Cricetulus griseus: one gene and its partner. The protein of the gene in region 1 binds, or shares a complex with, the protein of each later gene. Links are inferred from orthologs where the notes say so. Each region holds a gene or a part of one and is shown on either strand. Other genes may lie near its edges.

Region 1 (15,251 bases):
TGCTATACACAAACCTGTAGTTACATGCTTTTCCCCCTTCCAAGTGACACAGGAAAAGGATGTGGGAGACAGCAGGAGTAGTGTGTGACAGAATTCCCAGGAACTGCTTGGCATCATACCCAGTAGGTGGCCAAAGCCAGTTTTAACGAAGAACAAAGACAACATAGAGGGAAGAAATCCAGCCCGATAGATGTCCATACTCTTGAAAAGTATTTTAACTAGTGAAAACACAGTGTTTCACAGGCTTTCCTTCTTTCCCTCTCACCTATGGATTTTTAACAGCCAATGGAACAACCACTACCTTGTTGTCAGGAGTGAGACCCAGAAACACAGACGGTCCACAACTAGACATTTAGCTTCTGAAAGAACAAACACCTACCAAGACTTTGCTGGATGCAGTTTGCTGGGCACAGCTGAGGCAGAGACAGGAACCCTCCTTAACAGCGTTTGTGTGTGTGTGTGTGTGTGTGTGTGTGTGTGTGTGTGTGTGTGTGTGTGTGTGTGCGCGCAAATCTTTTAAAATTTGAATTAGAAATAAGATTGTTTTACATGACAATCCCAGTTTCCTCTCCCTCCTGTCCTCCCCTACCACCCCCACCAACTAAAACCCTACCTATCACATATCCCTTCCTTAACAGTGTTTTTATCTCGTGGATTGTGGGCAGATTCACTTCCCACAGACATCCACTGGAAAGATCTGCAGGGAGAATTGTAAATAAATTCTGCCCCCTACAGGAGAGGCCCTGTAGTTCTCCAATCCCGTGGCGTGGGCAGGGCGGTGCAGAGTGGAATCCTTCCAAAAAGTATAGCATGGAAAATTGTCATCGGTGGAGCCACTTGCTCTTGTAGACCAGGCTGGTCTCAAACTCACAGATATCCACCTGCCTCTGCCTCCCGAGTGCTGGGATTAAAGGCATGTGTCACCAGCGCCCTGCTTTCTTTCCCAGTTTAATCAAAAGAAAAACATGAGACAAGTTCCAACAGAAGGGCATTTTAACATCATCAGAAGTAACAATCATTAGGAACAAAGAACATCTGAGAGATAGTCACAGTCAACTGGAGCCTAAGGACACATTCGACTAAATGTGATGTGGTATCCTGCATAAGATCCCAGAGAAGCAAGCCGGGCGTTGGTGGTGCATGCCTTTAATCCCAGCACTCGGTTGGCAGAGGCAGGCGGATCTCTGTGAGTTCCAGACCAGCCTGGTCTCCAGAGCGAGTGGCAGGACAGCCTCCAAAGCCACAGAGAAACCCTGTCTCGAAAAAAAAAAAAAAAAACCCCAAAAAACAAAAACAAAGATCCGGGAGCAGCAAAAGGGGGGGTGGGGGGTGGGGGGTGGGGGTGGGTGGGGTGAAGGTGGGGGTGGGGGGTGTGGTGGTGAAGGTGGGGGTGGGAGTGGGGGTGGGGGGTGTGGTGGTGATGGTGGTGTGGTGAAGGTGGGAGTGGGGTGGGGTGGTTGTTGGTGGGGGTGGTGGGGTGGTGTGATGGTGGTGGTGGTGTGATGGGTTGTTGTTGTTGGTGAAGGTGGTGTGATGGGTTGGTGGTGGTGGTGGTGAAGGTGGTGTGATGGGTTGCTGTTGTTGGTGTGATGGGTGGGTGGTGGTGGTGGTACAAAAGCATCCTCAACCCCTCATTGTGAATTTTCTTGGTTTTCTGGTTTCCTGGCTGTTCTTGGGGTGCGGGGTGGGGGGGACTTACGTTACCCAGGGTTCCTTAGAGCCTATTTTCTCCACGCCTTCCTGTGTTGCTAAGAGCACTGTCCTCCATAATCCATGGTGACCTCACTAGTCAAGACTCCTGTCTGGAAACGTCCAAATACGTGTGGTTCAGATCATTGTCCCTGCAGCTCTCTATCACACGGCGCTCTCTGGATGGCCAGTCTGCACCCCGAACCCCAAATCCGATTCTCCCTGAACTCTCCCACTTCAAGGGCAAAACGCTGCTGCGTGGCATTACTATTTCCCCCTCCCGGTTCCTTGCTACCGAGTCCCTGAATTCTGTCAGTGCCTTTTAACTTTTTTGTTTATTTGTTTGTTTGTTTGTTTTGTCAAAGCTGACACAAGGCAGAGGGAACTTCAGCTGAGAAAATGCCTCCACAGATTGGCCTGGAGGGTCCTCAACGTCTGTGGGCTTCTTGCCTCAGGTACGTGTTTCCCGTTCCCTTCCGAGGTTCTTCCTTGCCTGTGCCATTTCCTTCTTTTCCAGCTGTTGACAGGGGGAAACGTAGGTTCTCTCGGCCCTCCGCGAGGCAGTTTCATGACTCCTGGGCACTGTAATCGCTCATGAATTCCTTTTCTCTGAGGGGTGCGCGCGCGGGCAGGTGTTTCTTTACATCTGTGCTTGAGACAGAATCACTAGGAATTAGTGGCTAAGTTACTACAGAGTATTTTTTAAGTGTAGTATTTTTTAAGCATAGTAATGAGACAAAGCTCATCTTAATAGTCCATTCACCGAAATTTTCATGCTCAGATTCACTTAATTATACAAGAAACAGCTTTGAAAAGAGGAATGAGACACGCCAGCATGGGATGGCTGAAATACCGAACCAGGTTAAGACCTGGAAATGACAGCGTAAGCAGATAGTGAAGGAAGTACAGCGGTTGTGAGACAAGAGCAAAACGTTACAGGACTAGTGGGGTTTAGGAACACTGGGTTAGCAAGGGATGCAAATAAAGGAGTACCAGTCCCAACGAGCCAGCCAGGAGTCGAACCTGGAATCTTCTGATCCGTAGTCAGACGCGTTATCCATTGCGCCACTGGCCCGCAGACATTTTGTGGTAGCCCAATGATAGTACTTCAGGCTAACTGCAGGGTTGCATGGGACCTGTAGTCTTTCTCCGGAGTGCTTCAGACGGATGCGGCATTCTGGGAGATTGCAGAGCCTCAGCAGTGACGGCCTGTCATTGGTCGAGCCGGGGAGCCACGCCTACGTCACGGTGCGGCCTGTGGATTGGCGGGAGCGGCCGCTCGGTCCCTCCGCCTCCGCTCGGGAGCTGCGAAGACGCTCTGGTTGTTAAGGCGACTTGTCCCGCCTCCCGGGGACTGCTCTCGGCGTTGTGATTGGTCCCTAGTAGCAAGGAATCCCGGCGTGGGCCGCGCGAGGGAAAAGATGGCGGCGATGGCAGTCGGAGGTGCCGGTGGCAGCCGCGTGTCCAGCGGGAGGGACCTGAATTGCGTCCCCGAAATAGCTGACACACTGGGTGCTGTGGCCAAGCAGGGGTGAGGAATGCGGGATCCAAATTGGGGACCAAGGAGGGCAGACTAGTTCCCCGCAGGGGATGAGGGCTGGAGACACCATTACTCCTTGAGTGGGGACGACTTCGGTTCCAGGAACGAGAGGATGAAACTCTGGGAGGCGTGTGGTCACCGAGTTCAAAAGTCAGGGGAGTTGTTGGGTAAATTAAAGGCGGGACGCGAGTCAGTCCGTCTAGGGCCTTGGAGGCTAAGATTATTTGAGAGGAGAAAGAAGTATTTTAAGGGGGCAAACGAGAGAAGAGGTTAATCTGGCTGGGGGAGGCATGGCAGTATTGGGACAAATCTGGATTTGATAGCCCTGGAAAGCCAGTGTTATCAGGGAAGAAAGAATGCTATTTGCCTTGGATGTCCTTCTTTTCTCAGTCATCTTTCATGGCTATGTTTTGGGAAGAAATTGATGCACAGTGCAGAGAAAGTTAAATGTCCCAAGATGGGCTGAACTCAGTAGCCCCGGGGGGTGACTGATGGCTTTATAGAACTGTGCAAAATCAAGATAGTTTAAACCCAGTTGGTTGATCTCTGGGTCCTCACTTTCCATGATAATTCTGAGTCTGTCGCGGTTGTAGGTTTGATTTCCTCTGCATGCCTGTCTTCCACCCGCGTTTCAAGAGGGAGTTCACTCAGGAACCTGCTAAGAATCGACCTGGCCCCCAGACACGATCAGACCTACTGCTGTCAGGAAGGGGTAGGGACCATCCCGTGTGCCCCTTGATTGTTAGAGGCAGTAATAACTTCTGCTTTATAGGTCTTCAATTCCCTCCTTTTCTGACTTGGTTGTACTGGCTAACCCCTGTGATATAGGTAACTCCCCCATTCTTCAGGCTATCCCTGTATCTGAGAGAAAAAGGCTTGTTTTCATCTCTACTCTATTTCCTGCTGAGAACTAGAAATTGAGCAAGAAAATGCCAGACCTCATTGAGTCTTTGTCTTTTCTTGGGTGGGGGAGTGCAGACTGGAATACGCTAATTGTGGGAAAGCTTTCTCCGTGGATTCGTCCAGACTCCAAAGTGGAGAGGATCCGAAGGAACTCTGAAGCGGTAAGGCTGTTTGGTTTTTCTGTGGGGTCCTTTTTTTTTTTTTTTTTTGGTTTTTTTTTCGAGACAGGGTTTCTCTGTGTAGCTTTGGAGCCTATCCTGGCACTCGCTTTGGAGATCAGGCTGGCCTTGAATTCACAGAGATCCGACTGCCTCTGCCTCCCAAGTGCTGGGATTAAAGGCCTGCGCCACCAACGCCTGGCTCTGACCTAGGTCTGACCTAGGTGCTGTGACCCACCCCTACCTGTAACCTCAGTGTTGGGGAGGCATTCCACACCGGAAGATAATGAGGGAGGATTGAGAGTTCCAAGCCAGAAAAGAAAAGGAGGGTGGGAAAAAAGGAAAGAAATTAGTTCTGTCATCAAATTGGGTTAGGAGAGTAACTCCCACTCCCCAGAACCTGGTAAATCAGAGTACAGTTAAGAGTCTGACCCTGGGTGTGGTGACTCACATCTGTAACTCAGCAGAGGCCATCCTCGAACTGAGTTGGATGCCAGCTTGGTCTACAGAGAGAGAGTTCCCGGCCTGTCAGGGCTACATACTAAGACCCTATTTCATTCCAGTTTTAATGTATGTGCTGCTGAAGTGAGCATATGATCCTGTTGCCCTCTTCAAAACAAAAAAAAAAAAAAATAGTTTGAGTTCAAGACTAGCCTGGTCTACATAGTTCTAGGATAGTCAGGACTATGTAGACAGACCCTGTCTCAAAAAGACAAAAATAACTGAGCAGTAGTGGCATCCGCATTTAATCCCAGCACTTGGGAGGCAGAGGCAGGCGGATCTCTAAGTTCGAGGCCAGCCTGGTCTACAAAGCTGGGTTCCAGGACTGTGGAGGCTGAGTGAGGAGGATTGCCTCCAATTCAAGGCCAAATTGAGTTACATAGGGAATTCCTGACAGCCTGGGCCACAATACCAGATCCAGTTTAAACTCCTCTCTACCCAGGAAGTATTTGGTTCCTAGTTCTTAATGGCTTTTTCTTTCCATGTGTTTCAGGCTATGTTACAGGAGCTGAATTTCGGGGCATATCTGGGTCTTCCAGCTTTTCTGTTGCCCCTGAATCAGGAAGATAACACAAACCTGGCCAGAGTTTTGACCAACCACATCCATACTGGCCACCACTCTTCCATGGTAGGCTTCTGTGCTGCTGAGTATCATGATAGTCAGCTGTGTGAAGTGACTTTTGCCTAGTTATGCCCCAGTGCTTTTGGCCGAATTGAAATGTCAGTACTGCCCATCCCACCCAACCCCCAATTTTGAAGTGGCATGGAGAGAGCTTCAAGCAGAATCTATGGGCTTAGAGGTGCAGCTCAGTGGTAATCACTTGCCTAACATACATGAGCCTCTGGGTAAGAGTCTTAGCACTATAAAACAATGCCAAATCATAGAAAATGCTTGTTTCTAGCTAAAATAAAAGACAAGGGAGGTATTTGCATAAGGATGTGTATAAGATATTAAACACGGATGTAATCAAATTCAGAAGGGCATATAAAGAGATTAACTTGAGATCTGGATCAAGATCTTTTGAGGGAAGCTTTCTGGACCCAATTAGTTGAAAACAGTGTTCTAACTAATGGTAACTGTTCATATGCAGTTCTGGATGAGGGTGCCCTTGGTGGCTCCAGAGGACCTGAGAGATGATGTCATTGAGAATGTCCCAACTACACACACAGAGGAGTACAGTGGGGAAGAGAAGACGTGGATGTGGTATGTCTCCTCTTGGCGCTTTACCTGTATGGGGTGGGGTAAGGAATATTGAGGAACTGGTAGAAGAGCTCCTTGAGTCATAAGCCATATGCATTTGACAGTGTTTTGTTTCTGAATCTGGGCAGGTGGCATAACTTCAGGACTCTGTGTGATTATAGCAAGAGAATTGCAGTAGGTAAGTGCACAAGGGTCCTGGGATAGGAGGAACCCCGTAAGAGTAAGAATCAGCAGGCTGGGTGCGGTGGCCCACCACTTTTCATCCCAGGGCTTGGGAATCAGAGTCCAGTAGATCTTTTTGAATTCAAGGCTAGCCTGGTCTACTTAGTGAGTTCGAGGATGGCCAGAATTATGTAGACAGACTCTATCTCACAAAACAAAGCAAAACCCCCAAATAGCCAATCGGTGGTGGTGGTACACGCCTTTAATCCCAGCACTTGGGAGGCAGAGGCAGACAGATCTCTATGGGTTTGCGGCCAGGCTGGTTTACAGAGTTCCAGGACAGCCAAGGCTACACAGAGTGACCCTGTCTTGGAAAACAAAAACCAAAAATAAGAATTTCAGTTTAGAAAGTTCCAGAACAGTCAGGGCTACATAGAGAGACTGTGGTTGTTTTGTTTTAAAACAAAAACAGCCAGGTGGTGGTAGTTCCAGCCTTTAATAATACAGGAACTTGAGAAGCAGAGGTAGGCAGATACCTGTGGGTTCAAGGCCAATATGATCTACAGAGCTAGTAGTTCTAGGATAGCTAGGGCTGTTACACAGAGAAACCCTGTCTCAGAACAAACAAACAAAAAATCCAGTAATTTCAGGCCTGGAGCAATGGCTCAGTTGAGAGCTCTATTGTGAGGACCAGAGTTCAGATACCAGCACCCACATTGATGGGCTCACAACTGCATATTTACTCTGGCTCCCGAGGATTTGATGACTTCTTCTGGCCTCCATGGGTAACTGCACATACATGCACATAAATAAAGAGAATCTATAAATCTAAAAAAAAAAAAAAAGGAAGATCAACAATTTGGGGGGGGGATGATGTAAGGCAATTGGCAGAGCACTTGGCTTGCCTGTATACATGAAGCCCTAAGTAAGATCCATAGCACACATGAGTAATGGCACATGCCTGAAATCCCAGCACTTAGGAGTATCAGAAGTTCACAGGAAGTTTCAGTACTTACTGGGCTACTTGAGACCCACTCTGAAAATAGAACTAGCACTGACCATTCTATTTTCATGCACCTTTAATCCCCAAACGAGAGGTGGAGCTCTGTGAGTTCGAAGCCATCCAAGACTATACAGTGAGAACCTGTCTGAAAAAGGGGACAAAGAAATGAGTTCTGTGTGTGTACTGGGTATTTTGGCTGCTTTCCCTGGGCTCAACCACCAGTTTTCAACAGAAGGAAAACGCTTGTACCCAGTAAGACAGGGCTGCCTGCCTAACAGCAGGTGATAGGCCTTTTTCTTGTTTGTGTAGCTCTTGAAATTGGGGCTGACCTCCCATCTAATCACGTCATTGACCGCTGGCTTGGAGAGCCCATCAAAGCAGCCATCCTCCCCACCAGCATTTTCCTAACCAACAAGAAGGGATTTCCTGTTCTTTCTAAGATGCAGCAAAGGCTGATCTTCCGACTCCTCAAGGTGAGTGAGTGGCCCAGTGGAATCTCCTAACTTACTTGTCCATGACTTCTTTTCCCTCTGGAGGAGGGTCAGGTGACTTTTGGAGAAGGAACCAAACTTTATGAGAAATTTGTTAACATAAGTATTTAAAGTAAAAGGTTGGGTATGGTGACGCACACTTCCAGCACTGGAAGGCAGAGGCAAGCAGATCTCTTGAGTTCCAACTCAAAGTGGCCTTTCAGGCCGGCCAGGGCCTGTTTGTCTCAAGGCAAACAGGCAAACAAGTAAGAAATTAAAGGTCCTTGTGTGGGGGAGTGTGAAGGTCCTTGTGTATGTATAGGGAGTGTGAAGGCCCTTGTGTGTTTACAGGGAGTGTGAAGGCCCTTGTGTGTGGGAGTGTGAAGATCTTGCACTTACAGATCACCAGAGAAGCCAGAAATGTTAGGCATGCAGGATTGTCCTTTCTAGGGGAAGGACGGAAAACCTGTTTATCTATTGGGCCAGGCCATATCAAGTCTCCACAACCAGAACCGCAGGTGGCTAGTAGTCTAAATGACCCTTACATTAGCTACATAGCCAGGGGCTTCCCCCAAGCTCCCAGATGTGGCTAGTAGTCCAAATGACCTCTATGCTAGCTGTGTGAAGGAGACCATGCCAGAGCCTTTCTTAGGCCCTTAAGCTAGTACAGGTAGCCTATCTCTAGAACCAGTCTTCTTGGAAGAAATGACAGATACTTTGAGTTTTGTGCCCTGGGGATTGTATTATAACAGGAAACTTTTTCTTAATTTTTACTGTGTTTAAATATGCTTGACAATAAACTGCCTGGCATCAGACTCTCAAAGTTTGATCCAGCCTAAGCCAGGCTAAGAGTTTTCATTCTTATCTCTTTGTGCATCGTTTCCCTGCCTGCCATGACACCTGCAGGGATCCTCTCCCTTGTGGCATCCTCTCCTTTGAGTCAGGATGATGCTTAGGCAGCTTATATAGCATACAAGGACTTCATAGATTTTTCAGAGCCCCCTTTTGGGGGAATTGATGCTGGAGAACTATTGGTGTGGGTTTTATTTTATGTTTAGGCTTTTGGTCATAAACCATAATGTCTGAGAGTCATGGTTGTGGCCTGGGTCTCATGATCTGACTTCTCTCACAGTTGGAAGTGCAGTTTATCATCACGGGCACCAACCACCACTCAGAGAAGGAGTTCTGCTCCTACCTCCAGTACTTGGAATACTTAAGCCAAAATCGTCCTCCACCCAATGCTTATGAACTCTTTGCCAAAGGCTATGAAGACTACCTGCAGTCCCCACTTCAGGTAGGTTTGGAGTACATTTACAGAGTTGAGAGGAGGGACTAGAGAGGTTAATCAGCAGTTAAGAGTGCTGCCTTTGCTTCCAGAGGACCTGGATTCTATTCCCAGCACCCCCATAGTGGCTCACAACTGTAACTCCAGGCCCAAGAGATCTGATGCTTCTGGTGCCCTTTCCTCAAGCACTGCCTGCGTGTGGTGTGCAGACATGCAAATAGGCAAAAGACCCATACACAAATATTTTTTAACTTAAAAAAAATACCCAAAAAGCCACCATAAAGTAATAATATTAAAACAACAACAATAATAATAGCAAGAGATATCTCTTAGAGAAAGTGGTCCAGGATCCTATTACAATTCAGGAAGCAATGGGAGATTTCGATATCTTGACCATTTCCCCTAACTGGCCAACTTGTTCTTTCCTCTTTTTATCAGCCACTGATGGACAATCTGGAATCTCAGACATACGAAGTATTTGAAAAGGACCCCATCAAATACTCTCAATATCAGCAGGTATAGTGTTGGCTTCAGGGTGGCAAAGCACAGGGTAAGATCAGCGAAGAAGGGATTGTAGCTGTAAGGTTTTCTGTCCTTCCCCCCAGGCTATCTACAAATGTTTGCTCGACCGAGTGCCAGAAGAGGAAAAGGAGACCAATGTCCAGTGAGTGCTTTCCCTATGTTCCCAGGGAGCTCTGCACCTGATTGTCCACCTGCTCAGTTTGCTTGACACTTCCCTTCTCTTAGGGTACTGATGGTGTTGGGCGCAGGCCGAGGCCCTCTGGTGAATGCGTCTCTCCGGGCAGCCAAGCAGGCTGACCGGCGGATAAGGCTGTATGCTGTGGAGAAGAACCCCAATGCTGTGGTGACGTGAGTAGCAGCCTGCTTGCTAGGCAGCTTGTCCTAGGTCCCAGTTTCCAGCTCCGGCTCTTATTCTGTCACCTCTGTTTCAGGCTAGAGAATTGGCAGTTTGAAGAATGGGGGAGCCAGGTGACGGTTGTTTCTTCAGACATGCGGGAATGGGTGGCTCCCGAGAAAGCAGACATCATTGTCAGTGAGCTTCTGGGCTCCTTTGCTGACAACGAGCTGTCGCCTGAGTGTCTGGATGGAGCACAGCACTTCCTGAAAGGTTTGTCCAGGTTGGGTGCGTGAGGCAGTTGCTGGTTGGTCTGGGAAGCAGCCCTGGGAATTGGACTTGTATCAGATCATACGGCTTTGAACTGCTGCTAGCTAGATTGTCGGGGGGCTGGAGAGATGGCTCAGAGGTTAAGAACACTGACTACTCTTCCAGAGGTCCTGAGCAACCACATGGTGACTCACAACCATCTATAATGAGATATGGTGCCCTCTTCTACTGTGCAGGCATAATGGAGGCAGAATGTTGTAAATATAATAGATTAAATAAACAAACAAATAAATAAATAAATCTTGAAAAAAAAAAGAAAGAAAATTATGTCAGATAGCAAAACTTCTGAGAGCTGTAAGTGGATAGACTAGAGATCCTTTACCTAAGGTCTGTGGGCTCCCTGAGTTTGTATAATATGCATGTACTTTGAGGGCCAGGGTAGGACTTAGCCATAGAGCTTTTACCTAAAATGAGGCTCTGGGTACAATCTCTACCATAGGAGGGTACTTGAGCTTAATGTTCACTGGGAACTTTCATGGGGTGTTATGATCCCCACAAAGTTTCAAAACCACCAGATAAGAGTGCTATCATGCCTTGTCTAATGATATTCACCAGCAGTGGGCTTTGTCCATGTGGTCCCATAGGATTATGTCATCAGGGACACCACAGTCATCTTAGTTTATGTAAGGACTATTGTTTTCACATAGTAGTTTAACATTCATCCCAGAATTTGTTGTGTTGCTAAGTAGTGCATGACTCTATATTACATTTTAATCTGTGGCACTAAATTAACTTAAGAGTGGAATCCCTATGGGGCATCATCCAGTCTTCCTGCCACACCAATAGCAGCCGTGGCTTGTATTGATTGAGCCTGCAGTTAGTGCGAACATGCCATTTCCTTCCCTCTGGAAACTGATTTGACCCTATTGCTCTGTAGATGATGGTGTGAGCATCCCTGGAGAATATACCTCCTTCCTGGCTCCCATTTCTTCCTCTAAGTTGTACAATGAGGTCCGAGCCTGTCGGGAAAAGGATCGTGACCCTGAGGTAAAAAGCTGCTTTTCTGGAAAGTGGGGATATTCTTTAGTCGCCTCTGTCTTCTTCCTGTGGAACAGATGAAGAAGTGAAAGAGAAGTTGGGACTGAAGAAAGTGGTTGAAGTGAAGCAGAGATTTTGTTTCTTTGATCCTGGGGTTTCTTTGACCTCTGGGGAGGTTGGTACCTCCTGTCTGTGTTCTCCAGTTCCTGCTTTCTCGCTCTGTACAGGCACAGTTTGAGATGCCTTACGTGGTTCGGCTGCACAACTTCCACCAGTTGTCTGCACCCCAGCCCTGTTTCACCTTCAGCCATCCCAACCGAGGTAGATTGATGCATGGCCATCCTGACTGAGAAGGGCGTGAGCTGTCCGCTTCCTCCCCTTGCTATCCCAAGTCTGCGCATCTTAGTTGACTTGTGCTAGATCTTGTTCAAGTTTTACCAAGTTGTCTAGGGTTTCTGGCTCCCCTTGTCATCCACCCCCGTCTTTCCTAACAGATCCTATGATTGACAACAACCGCTACTGTACCTTGGAGTTTCCTGTGGAGGTGAACACGGTGCTGCATGGCTTTGCAGGCTACTTTGAGACTGTACTTTATCGGGACATCACTCTGAGTGAGTGTCTGGGCCAGTGTATGAGGGCATCGCAACAGGGGTGACCTTTGTTCAGTCTATACATTCTTGGGACTGCTCCAGAAAGCTTGGCTTGTTTGTGGAGCTTTTGAGGCTGAGGCTGAATATTAGTTGGTATTACTTCAGGACCAGCACACTAATTTAGTGGGAGCCCAGTGTCAGGGACTGGAGATCTTTGATTCTTCCTTGTTATGGTCACAGAAGAGACTTCTCAACAAGGTAAGAGGGAGAGGGGAGACCTCAGGTTCCACTGTTTTGTCTCCACAGGTATCCGTCCAGAGACCCACTCTCCTGGGATGTTCTCGTGGTTCCCCATTCTCTTTCCCCTTAAGGTAGGAATCACCTTTAAGGCAGTAGGCTCAGGGAACACCTGCTAGTGGTATTCTGTTCCTGTCCCTCAGCTAGTTGGCTGTGACCCCTTTCTGCTATGTCACTTGCTCTGGTTGGGGTTACCTAAGTGACTTAACCTGGACTCCCCACATCTCTGACCACTCTTGTCCAGTCTTTACCTGGGTCAGGAATCACTTTTTACAACTCTAATTTGAATTTGCCTCACTACTTACACCCTTCAGTGCCTTCCCACTGCCCTTAGGTGAAAATCTGGAATAGTGTTATAAGAGTTAGTTTGGTAGATTTTTCCTGCCTCCCAGCCCTCTGTCTCTGCTTTGCTCATCTCGACATCCTACTAACTGACCTAGGTTTCCTGGAACATTCCTACTGTCAGCTCATTTTCCAGGCCTCCTAGAGTAGGTTGGCTTATTGTACATGCTCATAGCATTCACTACCCTTTGTTCACTGTCTGAGTGCTCTATATTTTGACACAGTAGATAAGTTTTATGAAGGTCAGAATATTTCGGTGTTTTTATCTTTTGTTGTTTGATTTGGTATGGGGTTTGGAATTATGGCCCAAGTTGACTTTGAATTCCTGATCCTCCTGAGTGCTGGGGGTTAATAGGTTTGTACCCTACACTTGGCTGTTTATAGTTTATCAGCTCTACCTGAACCTCCCTGTCTTTCCTATTACAGCAACCCATCACGGTGCGTGAAGGCCAGAGCATCTGTGTGCGTTTCTGGCGATGCAGCAATTCTAAGAAGGTGTGGTACGAGTGGGCGGTGACAGCACCAGTTTGTTCTTCTATTCACAACCCCACTGGCCGCTCCTACACCATTGGCCTCTAGTGCTGTGTGCAATGCTGAGCCTTGGAAGCGCTTTGAGTTCTGTTCTTACAGCACAAAAGGTGCAGAACAGCTCCTGGTACAGTTTATCTGTGAGACCCTCACCCGTCAGAGAGGAACGGTTCAGTCTGCTTTCCTACCTTGTGCCATGGTGGGCAAGGGGTAGGCATTCCAGGACTGCCAAGCATGGTGGTGCACACCTCTAATCCCAGCACTCTGGAGTCAGAGACAGGTGGATCTCTGTGAATTCGAGGCTAGGCTGGTCTACCTAACAAGTTAGACCCTGTTTCCAAAAAAAAAAAAAAGACGGGACACAAGCCACCAATCTTCAAAGGCCTCTGGCTAGGGCATGAAGAATTAGTAGTGCTGGATATAAAGCAACATGAACAGGTACTCAGCCTTCAGAGCAGGGGTCAGGAGAAAAAAGAAAATATTTGAGGAACAGCCCCGAGAACATGTGCATTGAACAAATTTCCAGCCTTTTCCTTGCCTTATTCTGTTGTTTTTTGGATGGTTTTGTGTAAGAAGGAAACAAATAAAGTGAAGTTATGGCCTCTGCTGCTTTACTCTGCTGTTCCCTGCCTGTATCCCTCCATCCACTTAATCTAGGCATGTTCAGGTTTGTGCTCTTGCCTTACATGAGAACCAAAGGACTTAAAAAGCTGAGTGAGAGCTGGGGGGGGGGGTGTTCAGTAGTCCAGCATGGGGTACTCAGTGGTAACCTGTGAGGTCCTAAGTTGAGTCTGTCTGCCATATCCCACCCACATTCCCTCCCCAGGACTTCTAGATGTAGACTTTTTCTGACTGGTCCATTAAATCCATTAGTCTATTCTCTATGAAAGACTAGTGGCCTTTGCCACTTCAGGGAAGCATGACTGAGGCTAGCTAGCTTCTGCCTGCCTTAGATGGATTGCCAAGCTTCTCCAGCGAGTAGTTAGTCCAATTGTCCATTTTACAGAGGGGAAATTTGAAGTCGGTACAGTGAAATGGCATTGGTACTGACTTTGGCTCTCTAAAAGCCAGGAACTTTGAGATAGTGCAGGATTGGGCAGCTGAAGTCTCCAGGAGTTTTGGAGTGAGGGTTGGCCACATCAGTTCTTTTAGAAGAGAATACTTACTGCAGTATCTGTATTATCTGAGGAATAGTCTCAGTTTACCTTTGCAGTAGGGGGTCATGTGGGGTGCTGATAGGGATAGCAGTGTAGCCTCGGAATCTGGCAATAATTTGAGTGATGGGGGATGCCCTTCTGTTTGCTGTAAATATATGTTTCTCTTATTGGTTGACAAATAATGCTGTTTTGGCCAATGGACAGGTAAGATGTAGACAAGCAGAGAGTATAGGTGGGGCTACCAGACTAGGAGAATTCTGAGAAGAGGAACACAGTGAGTTGCCAGAGAGTGTCATGTAGTGTCATGTACCAAGAAGATAGAATGCCAAGCCATTCTCTGGTAAGCCAAGAAAGACCATGTGGAGATACATAAATTAATAGAAATGGGTTAATAATTAGGAGCTAGCTAGCCAATAAGAAGCCTTAGCCATTGGCCAAGCAGTTTATAATTAGGATAAGCCTATGTGTGTTTACTTGGGACTAAATGACTGGGACAGAAGTCCTAAGTAGTGAGGTCTGGAGGGTTAGGTAGCTGCCCACTCAGGATGGAGGTGTGGGGCCCTCAAAACCATCTCCAAGAAAACAGATCCTACACTCTTCAAGTCAGTAGGTGTGGTCACGGACATCCTTTGTTGGCTCTGCCCAAGGTGTTCAATTAGGTACCATCAGCATCTATATGGAGGGAGTAAGTGAGTCTTTCCTCCCATCAGTTTCCCCTTCCTTCTGCAAGTCACTTAACTAAGGAATGAGTGATGAACACCTGCCAAAACACCTACCAGAGCACCTCAGATGTGCTTGGCCCAGGTCATGACTTCACCAGGTGCTGCCATCATCCCTCAAACACCAACATTTTGTAAATTCTTCCTGAAGTAGCCGACTGGCTTTTAAGCATTTCTCTGCCCCTTTGGCAATAAGGACTTATTTTTAAGTACAGGCACTGCTTTGACTGTGGGTGGTTAATGTGATTTTTGGAGCAGGGATGGAAGAATAGCCTGCAGTATTTAGTGGATGGGATTTAATGCCCCTTGAAGGACTGGAGAGGTGGCTATCAGTTAAGAAATCTAGTTGTCTTTTTCAGAGAACCTGGGTTCAATTTCCATAGTGTTCACAACCTCCCATAACTCTTGTTCCAGGGGATCTGTTGCCCTCTTTGGAGCTTCATAGGCAGTAGGCACACACTTGGTGCACAGACATGCAGCCAAAACACTCAGACACATGACTAAGGGATCTTGACCCATAAGTTAGGGCATTGAGAGGTCTT
Region 2 (15,009 bases), on another chromosome or scaffold:
GTGTCACAGCCTTTTCACTACTTGGGTGACTTAATTTATTGCTGTAGAACACCACCATGATCAAGGCAACTTGTAAGAAAAAGCATTTAGTTGAAGGCTTGCTTATAGTGTCAGTGGGTTAGCCCATGACCATCACTGTGAGGAGAATGGGGGCAAGCAGGCAGGCCTGGTGCCTGAACTAAGCAATTACATCCTAATTCACAAGCGTGTGCATGGCATGGGCTTTTGAAACCTCAAAGCCCGCTCTGAGTGACACATCTCCAACAAGGCCACACATCCCAATCCTTCCTAAATAGTCCACCAATTGGGAGCCAAACATTTTAAACCACAGTGGCCAACAAAGTCTATCTATCTTCTTCTTATACTCGGGGTTCATCGGGTTCTTTGAGTCTCCATTTGGTCACTTCCCTTCTGACCATTTCTAACATTTTGTTTACCATCAGGCTTTATCCGTAGATAGTCTCACTCATCTCTTTGCCTGTCTTCTGTGACTCTTGGTGCTTCATTTGTTTCTTGTGTCCTGCAGAACAAGATTCCATTTTCTTGTCATCATTGGAGCTTTATTATGACAATCGGCTGTGCACCAGCTTAACTCAGACACAGCAGAGCCTTGTCCTTCTCAGTCTCCCCCTGGGTGTGTGTGTGTGTGTGTGTGTGTGTGTGTGTGTGTGTGTGTGTGTGTGTGTGTGTGTAGTGGAGACCAAAGGTCAACGCTGGAGACACCTACTCTGTTTTTCAAGACTGATTCTCTCACTAGGACATGGAACTTACAGATGAGGCGGGGCTGACTGGCCAGGGAGCCACAAGGGTTCAGTTTTCTCTGCCTTCCCAGTGTTGGGCGTATAAGCAAGTGCCACCATAACTTGACTTTTTACATGGATTCTGGGGTTGAATTCAGGTCTTCATGCTGGTATTGAAAACACTTTACTGATTGAGCCATCTCTCCTCCCCAAGACTTTTGAATCGTAAATCTGTTGAATTTTCACCTCTATAAAACATCTTCTCAGGGCATTTCATCACTTTCTTTAATGTTCTTTTTACTTTGCTTCATTAACACAACCAGCATTTGACTTTAATTTGGTAGCAATTATTTATGAATTTTGAATTCATGAAGATGGATAGTGAGGATAGAAGGATGGAGAGACATTTAGTCCTTAAGGCAGACCATTCTGAGTACTCTGGAAGAGCTGGTTAAATGACCTCAGTGATTTCTTCAACCTCTACCTAGCAGTGATTTTTTTTTTTTTTCACATGTAGACTTTCTAAAGGATTTAAAAGCTATACCCTCCCACATATTTTAAAAATTGTTAATGAAGAGATCTAAGTAGGGGAAGTGAGATGCTTTCTTTGGTGAGTAAAGGTACTTGCTGCCAAACCTGGAGACCTGTGTTTGATCTTTGGATTGCACCTGGTGGAAGAACAGAACTGACTCGTGCAAGTTATCCTCTTACCTCCATGTGTGTGCTGTGGCACATGGGCACACATACACAATTAATAAATATTATTAAAAATTAGGTAGTTGACAAGAGGTTAAGTTTTTGTCATGTTTATTGTTACACATTTTTTTCTAAGCATGTGTTTTTCAGTGTCAGTAACCTGCTTACAGAAACTGTTTACAAATAACCTAATGACGAAAACCAGTTTGTTCTGTTAGCAACATTAGATTTCACTTTCTTTTACAAAAAGTCCAGCTTGGTTTATTAGTTCAGATAAGCTAATTGGTTATGTTCTTCTGACAACCATTTTATTTTTCAGTTTTCACTGAAACAGGCAAGTCACAGAGCTGCCCTTGTATTTGTGGGGTGACTGAGACAGGTTCAGTCCCTTCTCTGTTCTCCTTTGAGAGCCTTAGATGTTCAGGCTCTGAATGCTGGCATGGGAAGCCCTGGGCTGGAAAGGAGGTATGCATTCTACCTCTAAAGTGGGAGAAGCAAAGCTCAGGCAGTTCATTTCACTCTCAAGGGAAAGCATATTATAATACTCACATTGCTTAAAACATAGTGCCAGAACTCTCAGATTTTTCTATGCAACTTAGAGGCCTGCATCTCCATTATGGAAACTGTTACTGAGTCAGTAATGGCCTTTTCCTTTGAAACATCCATACTGCAAATTTCCTTCCCCATTCTTACTAAGCCTGTAATTGGACTTCATTGTCCCTACCAGTTCATCATTTTCCGGAGCCTCTTCAGGTTTTCTAACTATCAGCTTTCCCTCTGGTTGTAGTTTATAATCTGTCATATTATTTATTGACTGACATGATGAAAGCAGGCCTGTTTCTGACATTCTCTTTTTTCTGCCATGTTTCTCCTTTACAGCTCATTCAGGACAGGTCACCTGTGTTGCTGCCTCTCCCCACAAAGACTCTGTGTTTCTTTCATGCAGTGAGGTGAGATCTAGTCACTTCTTTCCAACCATAGTTGAACATTCATAGGCCCAAATCCCTGGTGTGGAGACTGGCCAGCAGCTGTTCTTTGGATTATGAAACCCTTTTTTTGTTCCTCTTCCTAGGACAGTAGGATTTTGCTCTGGGATACCCGCTGTCCTAAGCCAGCATCACAGATGGGTGAGTCTGAGACCAATGGTGAGGAGAACATGGCAATAGGAAGCCAGTTGGAAGAGGCTGTCTTTGCCCAGAGTCAGAGCAGAGTTGCCAGATGCCCACCCTCTGTGACGTCATTTTCTGTCTCACTGAGGCTCTGCTCACCATAGTGCAATGAGTACCAAGGGGAAGGGCTAGCTTCCAGGTGGGTGGTTACTCTGCAGAGAGAGACAAAAGGACTAGGGTTATTATTGTTGTGCTTTAAATGTATACCCCCAAATGACAGGAGACTGAATAGATGTAGGTCATGAGGCTCAGGGATGACGACATGCTTGATTGCCCAGGTCATGAGGCTCAGGGATGACGACATGCTTGATTGCCATAGCAGCATTTAAGAAACCCAGTCAAAGTGTTCCCAGGACTTTGTGACTTCTCTTGAAGAACTGCTTCTTGTAGGTTGTGGCTGCTTTTGTTCCAAACCTCCCTTTTGTCCTTTCCAGGCTGCAATGCTTCTGGCTACCTTCCTACCTCCCTGGCTTGGCATCCTCAGCAGAGTGATGTCTTTGTCTTTGGTAAGGCAGCATGACATATGGACTCTGAGAACGGGAGGATGGGAAAGCGCTACCTTCGAGGTGTACACACTCTTGTCAACACACTTCAGCACTACATGAATTAGAGCAGTTTTGTTTAGCTTTGGGGGACATAATTTTTTCCTAGTAGATTGGATTCCTCATGGATCCAGCTCCCTTATTCTCGGCATGATTAGAAATCATTGGGCCACTTAGCAAGCAGCTTTGCTGTTTAGGGAATTATGTGGGTATGACTGCATATGGTAACAGCTTGTAGTTAAAGTAATAAGTATCCAGTAATTGTCACAGCACACAGTAACTTGCTTATCCTACCTTACAAAAGGAAACTGGTGCTCTGGGTGGTGAACTTGTCCATATCTCGAGGAACTAAGATTCATGCAAATCCAGGACTGGCATATCAAAGCCTAAGGTTTTTGTTGTTCTTTTCTCTCCTAAGACAGGGTCTTTCTATGTAGCTCTGGCTGTTCTAGAGCTTATTATTTAAATCAGGCTGGCCTTGAACTCAGATAGATCCTCCTGCCTCTGCCTCCTGCATGCTAGTATTAAAGGCGTGCTTGACTGTGGACAGCCTGAAGTGTATGTTCTTAACCATGGTAACATGCTGTTTCTTCAACAGGTGATGAGAATGGATCTGTCTCTCTTGTGGACACCAAGAATGCAAGCAGTACCCTCAGCTCAGCTGTGCACTCCCAGTGTGTCACTAGGCTGGTATTCTCTCCACACAGGTACTGTTTGTCATCAGGGGTTTGGAAGGGATGGGTTGGGCCAGTGGTGAGGGGTAGGAATGGAGTGATAAGGAATGTATCTATTGGCACAGCATTAGCTGGTTACATTGTTCCTTAGATGGAACAATGTAAGTACTCGAGCTTGGTCTTCCTAAGCTAGTCAGTACAGTTCTTATTAGGGTTGCATAGTCTAAAAACAGCTGAAATGTGATCTCATACCTGTTCAACACAGCTTGATTGATGTTAGGCTTCTGGCACCATGTGCTTAAGGAGCCTGATTCTGGGTAATTGCTAATGTAGAGAGGGACCCATTGGGTAGTTGGTTACCAGGGTGGTTTCTATGAGTACTGTCTCTGTTCCATTTTTATTGGAATTATAATGGCAGGAAGACCTTAACCCAAAGGTGGGTATCAGGCTGCCTTTTCCCCTGGCTCAGTTTATGGTGAGTTTGGGGCTGGTGCAGTCAGATTTTGGTTATGGAATCTAGGCTTTATCTTCTCTCCCCTTTGTTCCCTCTCCTAGTGCTCCCTTTCTGGCCTCTCTCAGTGAAGACTGCTCAATTGCTGTGCTGGATTCAAGCCTTTCTGAGGTGTAAGTTTGAAGTAGAACCCTGTGGTTAGGAATCAGGCATCAAGACCAATGGGCAAGCAGGTCTGTTTTGTCTTCAGGAACTTGCATGTAGAATTCTTCCTTTGTTGGGACTGGAGAAAAGCTCAGTAGTTAAGAATACTTCCTTTTGTTCCCAGCTTCCACATCCGTCTGCTCCCAGCTGTCTGTCACTCCAGATCGAAGGCATGTGATGCCTCTGCTTCTGTGGGCCTCTGCACTTGGGTGCACATACCCACTTACACATTATTAGAAATAAATAGAAGAAAATTCTCCATCTTTGTCTGTAGAGGTTCTCTCCATTTGTGTCTGTGTGTCTGCAGAGACTGAACACTGGAAGCAGTCTGATTGTAGGCTAAGTCTAGCTAGCATCCCAGCTTCACGGAGGGAACCCCTGCTGTGAAGTGAAACCTGCTATAGAGAGAAAGGCATGGGAAGGAAGACCCCGGTGTACATCTCTCTCTGCTATGACTTCCTGCTTGGTTGTAGATATACTACTTCTTTGCTCTGCATACTATTTCTTCCCCTAGGAAAGTAGACTGGATTGGATTGAACATCCACTGTCCTGGTGATAAGCTGTACAAATGGTGAAATGTTTAAAAACAATGTGTCCTGATTATGTTAGGTTTTCTTTCTGTCTTCTTCCCACCTCGGTTTTTGTGTTATCTCTTACCACACACCCACTTTTGTTCCAGGTTTAGAAGTCGAGCCCACAGAGACTTCGTGAGAGATGCTACGTGGTCTCCACTTAACCACTCCCTCCTTACCACAGTTGGCTGGGACCATCAAGTCATCCACCATGTTGTGCCCATTGAGCCTCTCCCAGCCCCTGGACCTGAGAATGCCTCAGAGTAGAATGGATTTCAGAAAAAAAAAAAAAAAATAGCCCTCCACCTGCAAGAATCTGCTTGCCTCTGCCTCCGTATTGTGAGAGCACAGGAAGGAGCCTTGTAGAGCATGTTACTCCCTAGTCCCGTGCAATAAACAGGCAGACTCTCAGCCTGAGGGAGGCTGCAGCCCATAGTGTCTAGGAGGGAAAACTTCCTTTATATAAATGGGTATATGTGTTCGAGAGAGCACATGTGTGTGAGTGTATTAAGTAGTTTGGGGTGGGGAAAATTATTCTTCAGCTTTCCCAAAGCACTGCTCTTTATTTCCCACAAAGTGAGAACAGTTTTATGCTTCCCAAGTCCAAGAATTGGATATGTTGTCTGGGATATGGAATGTGAGTATCCCTAGATTTGTGGGAGTGGTTCCACCACTCAGAGATGGGGTAACTTATTTTTATATAGAGTTTAATTCATTATGGGGAATACTTCAGTCCATAAAAGTCCAGCACAGTATACCTTGAGAAGACACAGAAATACCACAGTTTTGTACAAATCCATGTTAAACTGAATTTTCAGATCCATTTTCTTGGTGAATAAATTTGGCTGTTGCAATGTAGTTCTTGCTCACCCTTTGCCCTCCTCTGTGTTGTATGAGAGAGATGAGTGTTTTCCTGTCCTAGATTTCATAGAAAGTTTTAGGGATGATTGAACATTTAAAGGGGTTTCAGTGAAGTCAGAAAACTGACAGGGTTTCTTACAGAGAAATCTTTGTCATTTTTCCCACCTAAAGATACCCTGAGACCTGATTGCCTCTGGGCACCTTCCTCTGGAGATATGAAGTCTGAGTGCTGTATTTGTGAACTATTAAGATTTAAGATCCATCATTAGGGAAATTCTGAAATACTGAAATGTGAATTAAAGACTTGGGTCATGGCCTTTTCCCCCACCAAAGCTGTTGTTACTTTTTGTCTGCTTTACTTAGGTGAGTCACCAGGATGTTGTCAATTTTACTGCCGCTGTCTGTATTTTACCATTCCTGAAGTAGTTAGTTAAGGGAGAACTTAAACATTTATTTATACTTGGTGTTGGTGGTCTAGCCACTCCATTTAGAGTTCATGATAAATAACTGATTATATTGGAGCTGAGAGTGACTGGTGATAGATATACTTTGGAGTGTTTCAACTTTAGTTTAGGAGAAAGTAGGTAAGTGGGCCTCCTGAATTCTATATTTGCTAGTCATGAGGCTCTTGTTATTACCTGTGAGTAAAACATTTGAATTTGCATGCATGGTCAGCCAGGGCTTGAAAGAATAAGCGTTGGTGGAATCACTCTGCTGCTCAGAGATAAAGCTTGTGTTTTGTGGTCACTTAGGCACGAAGGGCAGATAGTGCATTTGCATGGCCTGTTTCTTAGGCTTAAGGCTGATAGAGGGGGGGAAAAAAACTTAAAGAAAAAAGGCTTAAAAAAACTATGTTAGAAGGTCTAAAATGAGACCAAAGAAGAGAAACAAGTTTTTGAAGAATTGTTACTACTTTTCATTGTTTAAAAATGAAGAGTGGGGTAGATGAGACCACTTGCTACTCTTTAGAGAACCTAAGATTTAAGTTTCCTTTTAGGTCTGTATTGATAAAAAGTAGTTCACATTGACTAATGCTTGCCACAGGTGTGCGAACCTAGTCAAAGCCATAATTAGCAACAAGCATAATCTTGGGACAATTGTATATTATGAGCAGAGAAGATAGTTGAAAATTTAAAGACCTGGAAACAATCAGGAATATAGGGCTGGAGTTGTGGCAGGTCATTCATTGTCTTGAGAATAGTTGCAGTCCTGCAAGGCCCAGTGACAGGGAACAATGGGTACATTTTGCTTGTTAAAAACCATTCAGTTTTCTTCAGGTTAGTGTTACTGTTCAAGTGTCCATTGAGTGACTGCATTTCCTTAGCTTTGATATCCATACTTGGAAATCTGTTAGCCTGACCACCACTTAGCTGCTGATCCCTAGCCCACTAAGATCTAAGAGTTTTTCATAAAGTGTCGAGTGCTTGGGACATGAAACACTGAAGGTCTGTGTAGTCTCAGAAATACCCAAAGTCAGGGCCAGGAGATGGCTCAGTGTGTAAGAGTGATGACCTGAATTCAGTCTTGGACCCACATGGTAAAAGGATGGTACTGACTCTTCAAGCTGTCCTCTGCCCACCTATATGCACATAAATAAAATTTAAAAAGTACCTAAACTCAAAACTTCTTTGGGCTTCTATATTTTTAGTAAATAAGGAAGGACAGGATATTGGGGAAGAGGCCTTGTGTTCTAAAACTCAACAACTTCACAGAGCATCATAACATTGATGCTTTTTAGACGGAGAGTAAAGAGCTCTAGATTTTAAAAAGTGTATTTGGACAGATTGAGTGTCTTGTATTTCCTTTGTGTTTTGATATTGCTTGGCTTAGCTTTGAGTGCACCAAGTAAATATGAATAGAAAAAGACATGTGTATTGTGAAGGCTAACAAAGTCCAAGTGTGGGAGAAGCTAGTGAGCTGGTTATTGCCAACATGGTCATACTGGGGTGGGGGGGGGGCAATTCAGAACCTGTAAATTGCTTTTGTTTGGGAAATGGTAAGCAAGCTCCAGGCTCAGTCTCAGCAACTTCATCTCTAGTCTATACAGTACTGTTGGGAAGTAAGCAAGGCAAGTAGACCACTGTTGGACATTCAAACACATTTTCTTTGTGAGGTTTCCCATAACTGCTGGGATTTGGACTTCCTATGGAAGCATGGATGTTTTAATCTTTAGTGTGTGGCAATAGGACAGGTGTACCCAAAAGAGGCTGAAGGAGGAATGAGCTGCTGGAAGGGAGGAATAACTGGTAAGTTACACAGAACACAATGCATGATCCTACAGTCTTAGCTTATGTTTAGTGTGGTCTTCCACTTACTGTGGAATACTTGTTATAAATGGTAATCTGCTATTCTTTTTGTAATGTCAAAATTCAAAAGCTCTGTAAATAGAGTTTAGTCCCTAACATGGTTTGGTGAAAATCAGCCAATGTCATTGGTTGAAAAGTCACTCAAGATAACAGATTTCATTTGACCCTGTGATGTTGAGTGCCAGATTCTAGGCAAGCATTTCATTTTAGAGGCATTGGGCTAAAAGAATTAAGAATTAGTTTCAAATGAAACTTCCACTTTGGTGGTAGTTCTCTTGTGGATTCTCACCAACTCCATGAAGGTTGTACCTGAGAATACATTTTATGACCACAAGCTAAATTAGCTTCAGGTTCTGCAGTCTACAATTTATCAGAAATCATGACATTGGCCAGGCTTAGAAACATTAAGCTGGGTGTGCCTGGTTTCTGTGGGTGTACATATTCCAAAGGCAGACTGCTTAGCTTTTGGATCTGTAGCTACAGAGGTAGTCATGGCTCTTTCAGTAAAATGCTCAGATCATCAGCCTGGGCTATGAGGGCCTGTCCTCAAAAACAAAACACCCAAAATAAGAAACCTGGAACAATATGCTTAACTTGTAAATCCAGTGTTATAAAGTCTTAAATCATGGTGCATACCTCAAACATGTCATAATAAAAGACAAGGAACATGATGTGTGAAAACATTGCTTTATGTGATAATGCACATTTTCTAGTATAATAACCAATATGAAGAGAAGAGATAAAAGTCCTCATGCTTATCCAGCAATCATCCTTTACAATAAATACTGGGAAGCAGCCTTTACTTTAAAGATGAGGTAATTGGCTAGGAAATGCTCATTCAGGTTTACTGTGAAGCATGGTCAATACTCTGGAATTTTGTATCATTCACACAACTGATTTAACTTAAACATGCTCCTGCAATTCCTCCACAATGTCAGTTTTCAGTGAAACGCTTTGGTCAAAGAAAGGGCTTCACATATGGTCCTGCCTTCATCTCCATTACCAAGGAAATATGAGTGCAGTCATGCTGCTTTGCAGAATTCTTGTTACCCAAGTAACATATATTAGTATATATCTTTCCCTGTAAGAATAGGCTAAGCACTAAAGAACAGATTCTAAATGCCAGTGCATGTGTCACAGAAGCATTGGCTATTTTTTGTTGTTTGTTTTAAAGCAAGAACTGAAGGAATAAAATTGGGGGCAAATGGACCCAGCACATTGATTTTCTATTTAATCCTTATTTAATGTGATCATCAACCACTATGTATACAGAATCAGAATTGCCAGCTTTTTGGCATGGTCATGCCTGGATTAGGCAGAGGTCATTGGTGGCAACCATTGTTCTGTCTTTGCTTTCTCAGCATCCTAGCTACTCCTGTGGATGTGGAGAGATGAGGTGCCGATTGTCAGGCAAAGTATACTGACAACTAGTGCTCCTGGCAGCAGTGTGATTTGAAGGGTGCAAATCTAGCAGGGCATCTCAGCCATGCGTAAGATCTTGAAAGGCAGGAGTCACAGTGGAGGAAGGATGTATTAAAAGGGAACCAGTAGAGCATCAGACCATGAGGGAGCCTGACAAGACTGAGGCCCCAGAAATCAACCTTAGTACCAATAATTTATAGATCAGGTTGCAAAGTCATAGATTCAATAACAAGAATTAGGGCACACAAACAGTGACTGAGAAAAGCAGGGTCATTAGAGTGAAAAAGAACATCGGGGAGTCATTAAACCACAGGGATAAATTATTGCCTTGGGAGGCTTGCTGATCTGCTTTAGGTTAACAGTAGCCCAAAGAATTGAAGATACATGAAGATACATGAAGGACCCCAGGGATGATACAGAGCAGGAAGGGGCCCTGGGGCCTGTTTGATAATAAAGCCAATGCTTTCTCACTGCAACCATTGTGGATTTCCAAGAACACACACACACACACACACACACACACACACACACACACACACACACACCACTCCATTTGTCTTTGTTCTTGGATATCTAAATACATTTCTGGTATAAAAATTTTGAGTTTCTTGCTTATTTCATTCCTTAAGTGAAGGACAGTTGTTCAACAGATTTGACCATTGGGCACTGTGATTTCTTTGAATCCTCCATTGGGATCTGTGTAGCCCCTCCTGTGCGTGTGCAGCAGTGTCTGTCTCAGAGAGAGGGCACACAGACCATCTTTAGATGGTCTCAGAGAAAGAAAACCCATGGATTAAAGCAACAGCTGATGTACAGACTTTTTGTTTTTTAAATATCAGAGGTATTTTCCAGCTTTTTTTTTCCTCTTTCAAGTTTTTTTTTTTTTTAGATTTATTTATTATGTACACAGTGTTCTGCCTGCATGTATGCCTGCAGGCTAGAAGAGAGCACCAGATCTTGTTATAGATAGCTGTGAGCCACCATGTGGTTGCTGGGAATTGAACTCAGGACCACTAGAAGAGCAGCCAGTGCTCTTAACTCCTGAGCCATCTATCCAGCTCCCAGATTTTATTTTTTTAACCTTTGCATTGTTGTTGCATTTAAAATTGGCTCCTGGGTGTCCATAATCATATTCATATTCCTGAGGCTCAGGTTCCATTCTCATGGTTGGCTCATATACTTGTCCAAATGTTTTCTGACGCTTAAAAAGTTTCAGGTTTTTGTTTTTTGCCTGAGGAAATAATGGCTCTATCAACTCCAGGCCCACTAGCCATGCAGGGCAACCAATAGCTGCTGCTCACGAGTGCTGTCCCCTCCCTTACCAGTCCCTCCTGACTACTGTCAGGTGACAGTGAAAGGTCAGAGAACCAGGGGAGAAGGACTAGTGCAATAGCTCTCCAGTCGGACCGCACATTAGACACTGGTCTGAACTCTCTTTGTATCATGTAGAGAACACACTGGCTGTTTTAGTGTGTTTACTCCACCTGTTGACATGAGCAGCCTGGTGAGTATCAGTGTTTGAGTTTGAGCATATCCTGCTCTTCTGGCCAGCTTCCTAATAACATCTATAATGAATTAAGCTCTTATTTTATGCAAGCCACAATTTTCTCACTATCTCTCCAGTCCCTATATATTCCTGGGAGATAAGAATGCTCTATTAGCTCAAGAAAAACAGACTTTCCTTTATGTGTGGAAACTGCAGGGGCTCAATAACTCATCCAAAATTATATAACTTATAAGTGATATAACAGGGATTGCTACCTTGGCTCTAAAGCCAGAATCCAAAGCTGAAGCATCAAAGCTTCATGATACACTGCTTTTCTGATTATGGACATACCCCATCATGCAGTGTTTCTCCTCCACCTCAGCTGTGGGGAGTTGGATACCAGGAAATGGGGCCAATTGCCAGACAAGACTCAGGAACATTGCCCTTGTCTTTGTTATAGCCTGCGGTGAACACTGACTCCCTGCTTGTGTCAGGCCAGGGATGTGGCTTTGTTGGCCCTGAGAACTACAGCTGTTCCTGAGAGGGAGTAGAAGTATTTCTGAGGTCACTGTGACTCTTGAGCCATCGTTTCTGGCATGGCATGTGTGTGTAGCTGGGCTCTCCCCATGTTGCACATGGGCTAGCTCCTATTAAAGGGTCTTGAGCTCCATCCCCATAGCTGCCAGACAGCTGAGATGGGGAGGCTGCTGCTGTGGGTTGGTGAGTATGGTGAATCCTAGCAATGCCACATAGTTAGGGAGATAGCAGTTTACTATTTCTCTGGTGCCCAGTAAAGCAGCCTGAGACTCCGAGTCTGGATGAGGCAAATATGAGATAGATGGAATAAAGAACCAGAGGTACTCGGAGGAAGGGGCCGAGCAGCAATTCTCCAACCTAGTTGTTTTCATGATTGGGCTCCATCTTGGGCCAATTTATTCAGAATTTCTGAGAAGAGAGCTTTGATATGAGTACTTTTGAATTTACAGCCAGAATTGAGAACCCCTTAGCTTGTACATCTGCCATTGTCCCTATGCAAAGTATGAGCAGGTACATTTGATGATTATAGAAAAGGGCTTAGACCAGCTTCACTGTTAACTTTGAAGGAGAGGAAACCAGTGCCTGATGTGTGTCACCATGTGTGTATCTGAGTGTGTATATGGTGCTGAGCTGGAGGGGGCACTTGCTGACTGGGGGTTTATGGGGGCAAGCCACACTGCGCTAGTATATGAATTCCTTTGTTTCCTGCAGGGCTGGTTCTTCTGATGAAACACAACGATGGTAAGGAAACCACCTTCTCCCCTCCAAAGCCAGGGAGATTCTCTGGCTAGGAAATCTCCATTCAGTGTCTCCTGGACCCCTGCCTGTTTTGGCTCCTTGCTCAGAGGTTATTGATCCAATACAATTCAGCACAGGATGCTGGCCACTTGCTGTTTGTATGGCTCAGTAGGTGCCAGGATCTAGACAGATAAGGCATTCTTTCTTCTCTTGGGCCTCAGCAGCAAGGGCAAGGGGTCCAGGGGCATGTGGAGGAGGTGTTGGTATATGTGGGAGGAATGGACTGTTACAGTGGCCTGCTCTCTTTGGCTGTGCTTTCTCTACCCCCAGAAGCCGAATTCCCTCCTTGCCCCATGATCTCTGCTGACTAACCCTTGTTGTCCTTGCCAGGTACTGCCTACAAGCTGGTGTGTTATTTTACCAACTGGGCTCACAGTCGGCCAGGCCCTGCCTCCGTCTTGCCCCGTGACCTGGATCCCTTTCTTTGTACACATCTGATATTTGCCTTTGCCTCAATGAGCAACAATCAGATTGTTGCCAATAATCTCCAGGATGAGAAAATTCTCTATCCAGAGTTCAACAAACTCAAGGAGAGGTATGTTAGATGTGCAGTTAGGCTCTCAGATTTTATAGCTAGAGGAAAATTAAGCCTATTTCCCTTATTACTCTTGAATTCCCCTGATTTCTCTAATCCTACATTTCTCTCTGATCTGAGTGCTTCTTACTTCAAAGTTCTCTATTGACCAGCCCCATGAGCTGCTTCTTGCCTCGATGGCTTGGGAGTTATGTTACCTGTTCTTGGATGTCTTCACACTCCTTTCTCCTGGTAAACTCTGGCTCACCCTTTGAGTCCAGTTGTGAGGGATTAATGCTGCTAAAGGGCTTCAGAGAGGTGAGCGGGAGGCTTGCTATGTGTTTGCTGCTGCATTTCAAACAGTCAAAGGCACATAGTCATTGCTTAGTGAATATTTGTTGAGTTGGAAAATGAGTGACTAGGAACATTTTAGACTTTGTTTTCTGAAAATATTATTATGGAGAAGTGAGGGCGCTTGGGACACTTTGGGTATTCTTGCTGTGCAGAGCTGCAGTGGTCTTCAGATTATTAGCCTCTGTTTTCTGTACTTCCGTGGTCTCCTCCTTTCTCATGCCTTCTCCCGTTCTTCTCATGTCCCCTTCTCCATTTCCCATTGTTTTTCTAATACACAGCAGAAATAAGAGCACTGACTGCAGCTGCCCATAGAGTAAGGACCTACTTTTCCTCCTTTCCCCCTACATTCCAGGAACAGAGCCCTGAAAACACTGCTGTCCATCGGAGGGTGGAACTTCGGCACATCACGGTGAGCTGCTCAGTCACTGTCTTCTCTCTGAGAGGAAGAGCAAGATGGGCTAGAAATGAGAGTCATGGTGTGTGTGTGTGTGTGTGTGTGTGTGTGTGTGTGTGTGTGTGTGTGTGTGTGTGTGTAAACCAGCTTGGATACGAGAGCAGCAAAGCCCATGTTGGTACCTTCTCAAGTCCTGGATTCAAGGGATCCTTTCCCACAGAGGGTCATAAGAGGAAAAGAGAGTCCTAACGGTGGTGAGAAAAGGGACAGGGGAACACAAGAGACACTATGGTGCACTTGGGACTGGGAGTGTGGTACAGTGGCAGTGTATCTGGGTCTGACCTTAGCATCATCTGAAAACACATTCAGAACAAAACAGAACAGAACAAAATAAAACATGAGACCGCTTGGAGATACGAATCCATAGGAAAAAAAATACCAAGGACAAGGACAATATATAGGACAAGAAGAGTAACCCCCAAACCTCACAGGCCCTGGGCTTTGCCACTCCATGCATGGGGCTGGCTGTGTTATAGACAAAGATACAACAAATGATATTTTGGTGCTATTGCAGGGACTTACAGCATATATCCTTCATGCGGTGGCTGCTCTTGTTAGTACCACAATAGGGAAATGACAAACCACCTTCATATTCTCAAAAGGACAGTTTCCTTGCATCCTGGCTCAGGCCTGGGGCAGAGCCTGCTTTCCAGCCTGATAGTCTGGTGTGTGTAGGATGCCCTCTGAAAGGGACCTCCAGGTGGAGTGAAGGGTTCCAGGTGTGTGGTGTCTGGCCACTAGCTCTGTTCAGCCCCAGGACTCATCTCTGTTCCTTTGACTTGCTGTGATCCTAAAGCCGACTGAGATGCCACATGTATGCATGTGCACACATATATGTATATATGGATGGTTTCTTGGGAAATGGCTGTGTTTCACATTATTAGGAAAAGAAAGCAAGAGTCACAAGTATTAAGGAACTTGCCAGATTTCTTCCAAGTGTCCTCACCCCTCAAGAGAACCCAGCTGAGTGGTGGTCAATGGACAATGGCACCCAGGTCCATTTATCTCTAGGTCTAGCTATTTTTTTTAAAAGATTTTATTTATTATGTATACAATGTTCTGCCTGCATGTATGCCTGCAGGATGGCAGAGGGCACCAGATCTCATTATGGATGGTTGTGAGCCACCATGTGATTGCTGGGAATTGAACTCAGGACCTCTGGAAGAGCAGTCAGTGCTCTTAACCTCTGAGCCATTTCTCCAGGCCCCTAGGTCTAGTTATTTTATAAT

What was found.
Region 2: Prmt5 (region 1) and Wdr77 share a complex: the UniProt entries of both Homo sapiens proteins name them as parts of the methylosome complex. The link is inferred for Cricetulus griseus from reciprocal best matches to the Homo sapiens genes PRMT5 and WDR77.

The regions. Positions count from the first base shown.
Region 1 is NW_023276807.1:209,724,694-209,739,944, reverse strand, and holds Prmt5 (protein arginine N-methyltransferase 5), read left to right. Parts: upstream 1-3,064; 5' UTR 3,065-3,110; coding exon 3,111-3,220; intron 3,221-3,822; coding exon 3,823-3,941; intron 3,942-4,207; coding exon 4,208-4,293; intron 4,294-5,284; coding exon 5,285-5,419; intron 5,420-5,882; coding exon 5,883-5,995; intron 5,996-6,120; coding exon 6,121-6,170; intron 6,171-7,466; coding exon 7,467-7,630; intron 7,631-8,759; coding exon 8,760-8,921; intron 8,922-9,350; coding exon 9,351-9,428; intron 9,429-9,517; coding exon 9,518-9,576; intron 9,577-9,659; coding exon 9,660-9,782; intron 9,783-9,865; coding exon 9,866-10,041; intron 10,042-10,975; coding exon 10,976-11,085; intron 11,086-11,303; coding exon 11,304-11,397; intron 11,398-11,570; coding exon 11,571-11,687; intron 11,688-11,972; coding exon 11,973-12,037; intron 12,038-12,731; coding exon 12,732-12,884; 3' UTR 12,885-13,447; downstream 13,448-15,251. UniProt on the Homo sapiens protein: Arginine methyltransferase that can both catalyze the formation of omega-N monomethylarginine (MMA) and symmetrical dimethylarginine (sDMA), with a preference for the formation of MMA.
Region 2 is NW_023276806.1:51,033,740-51,048,748, reverse strand, and holds the end of Wdr77 (methylosome protein 50), read left to right. Parts: intron 1-2,315; coding exon 2,316-2,386; intron 2,387-2,508; coding exon 2,509-2,563; intron 2,564-3,039; coding exon 3,040-3,111; intron 3,112-3,745; coding exon 3,746-3,854; intron 3,855-4,376; coding exon 4,377-4,445; exon of another isoform or gene 4,446-4,505; intron 4,506-4,600; exon of another isoform or gene 4,601-4,737; intron 4,738-5,155; coding exon 5,156-5,315; 3' UTR 5,316-5,906; downstream 5,907-15,009. Other genes in the region: Ovgp1 (oviduct-specific glycoprotein), read left to right, coding at 8,128-8,155, 12,372-12,401, 12,789-12,993, 13,679-13,735. UniProt on the Homo sapiens protein: Non-catalytic component of the methylosome complex, composed of PRMT5, WDR77 and CLNS1A, which modifies specific arginines to dimethylarginines in several spliceosomal Sm proteins and histones.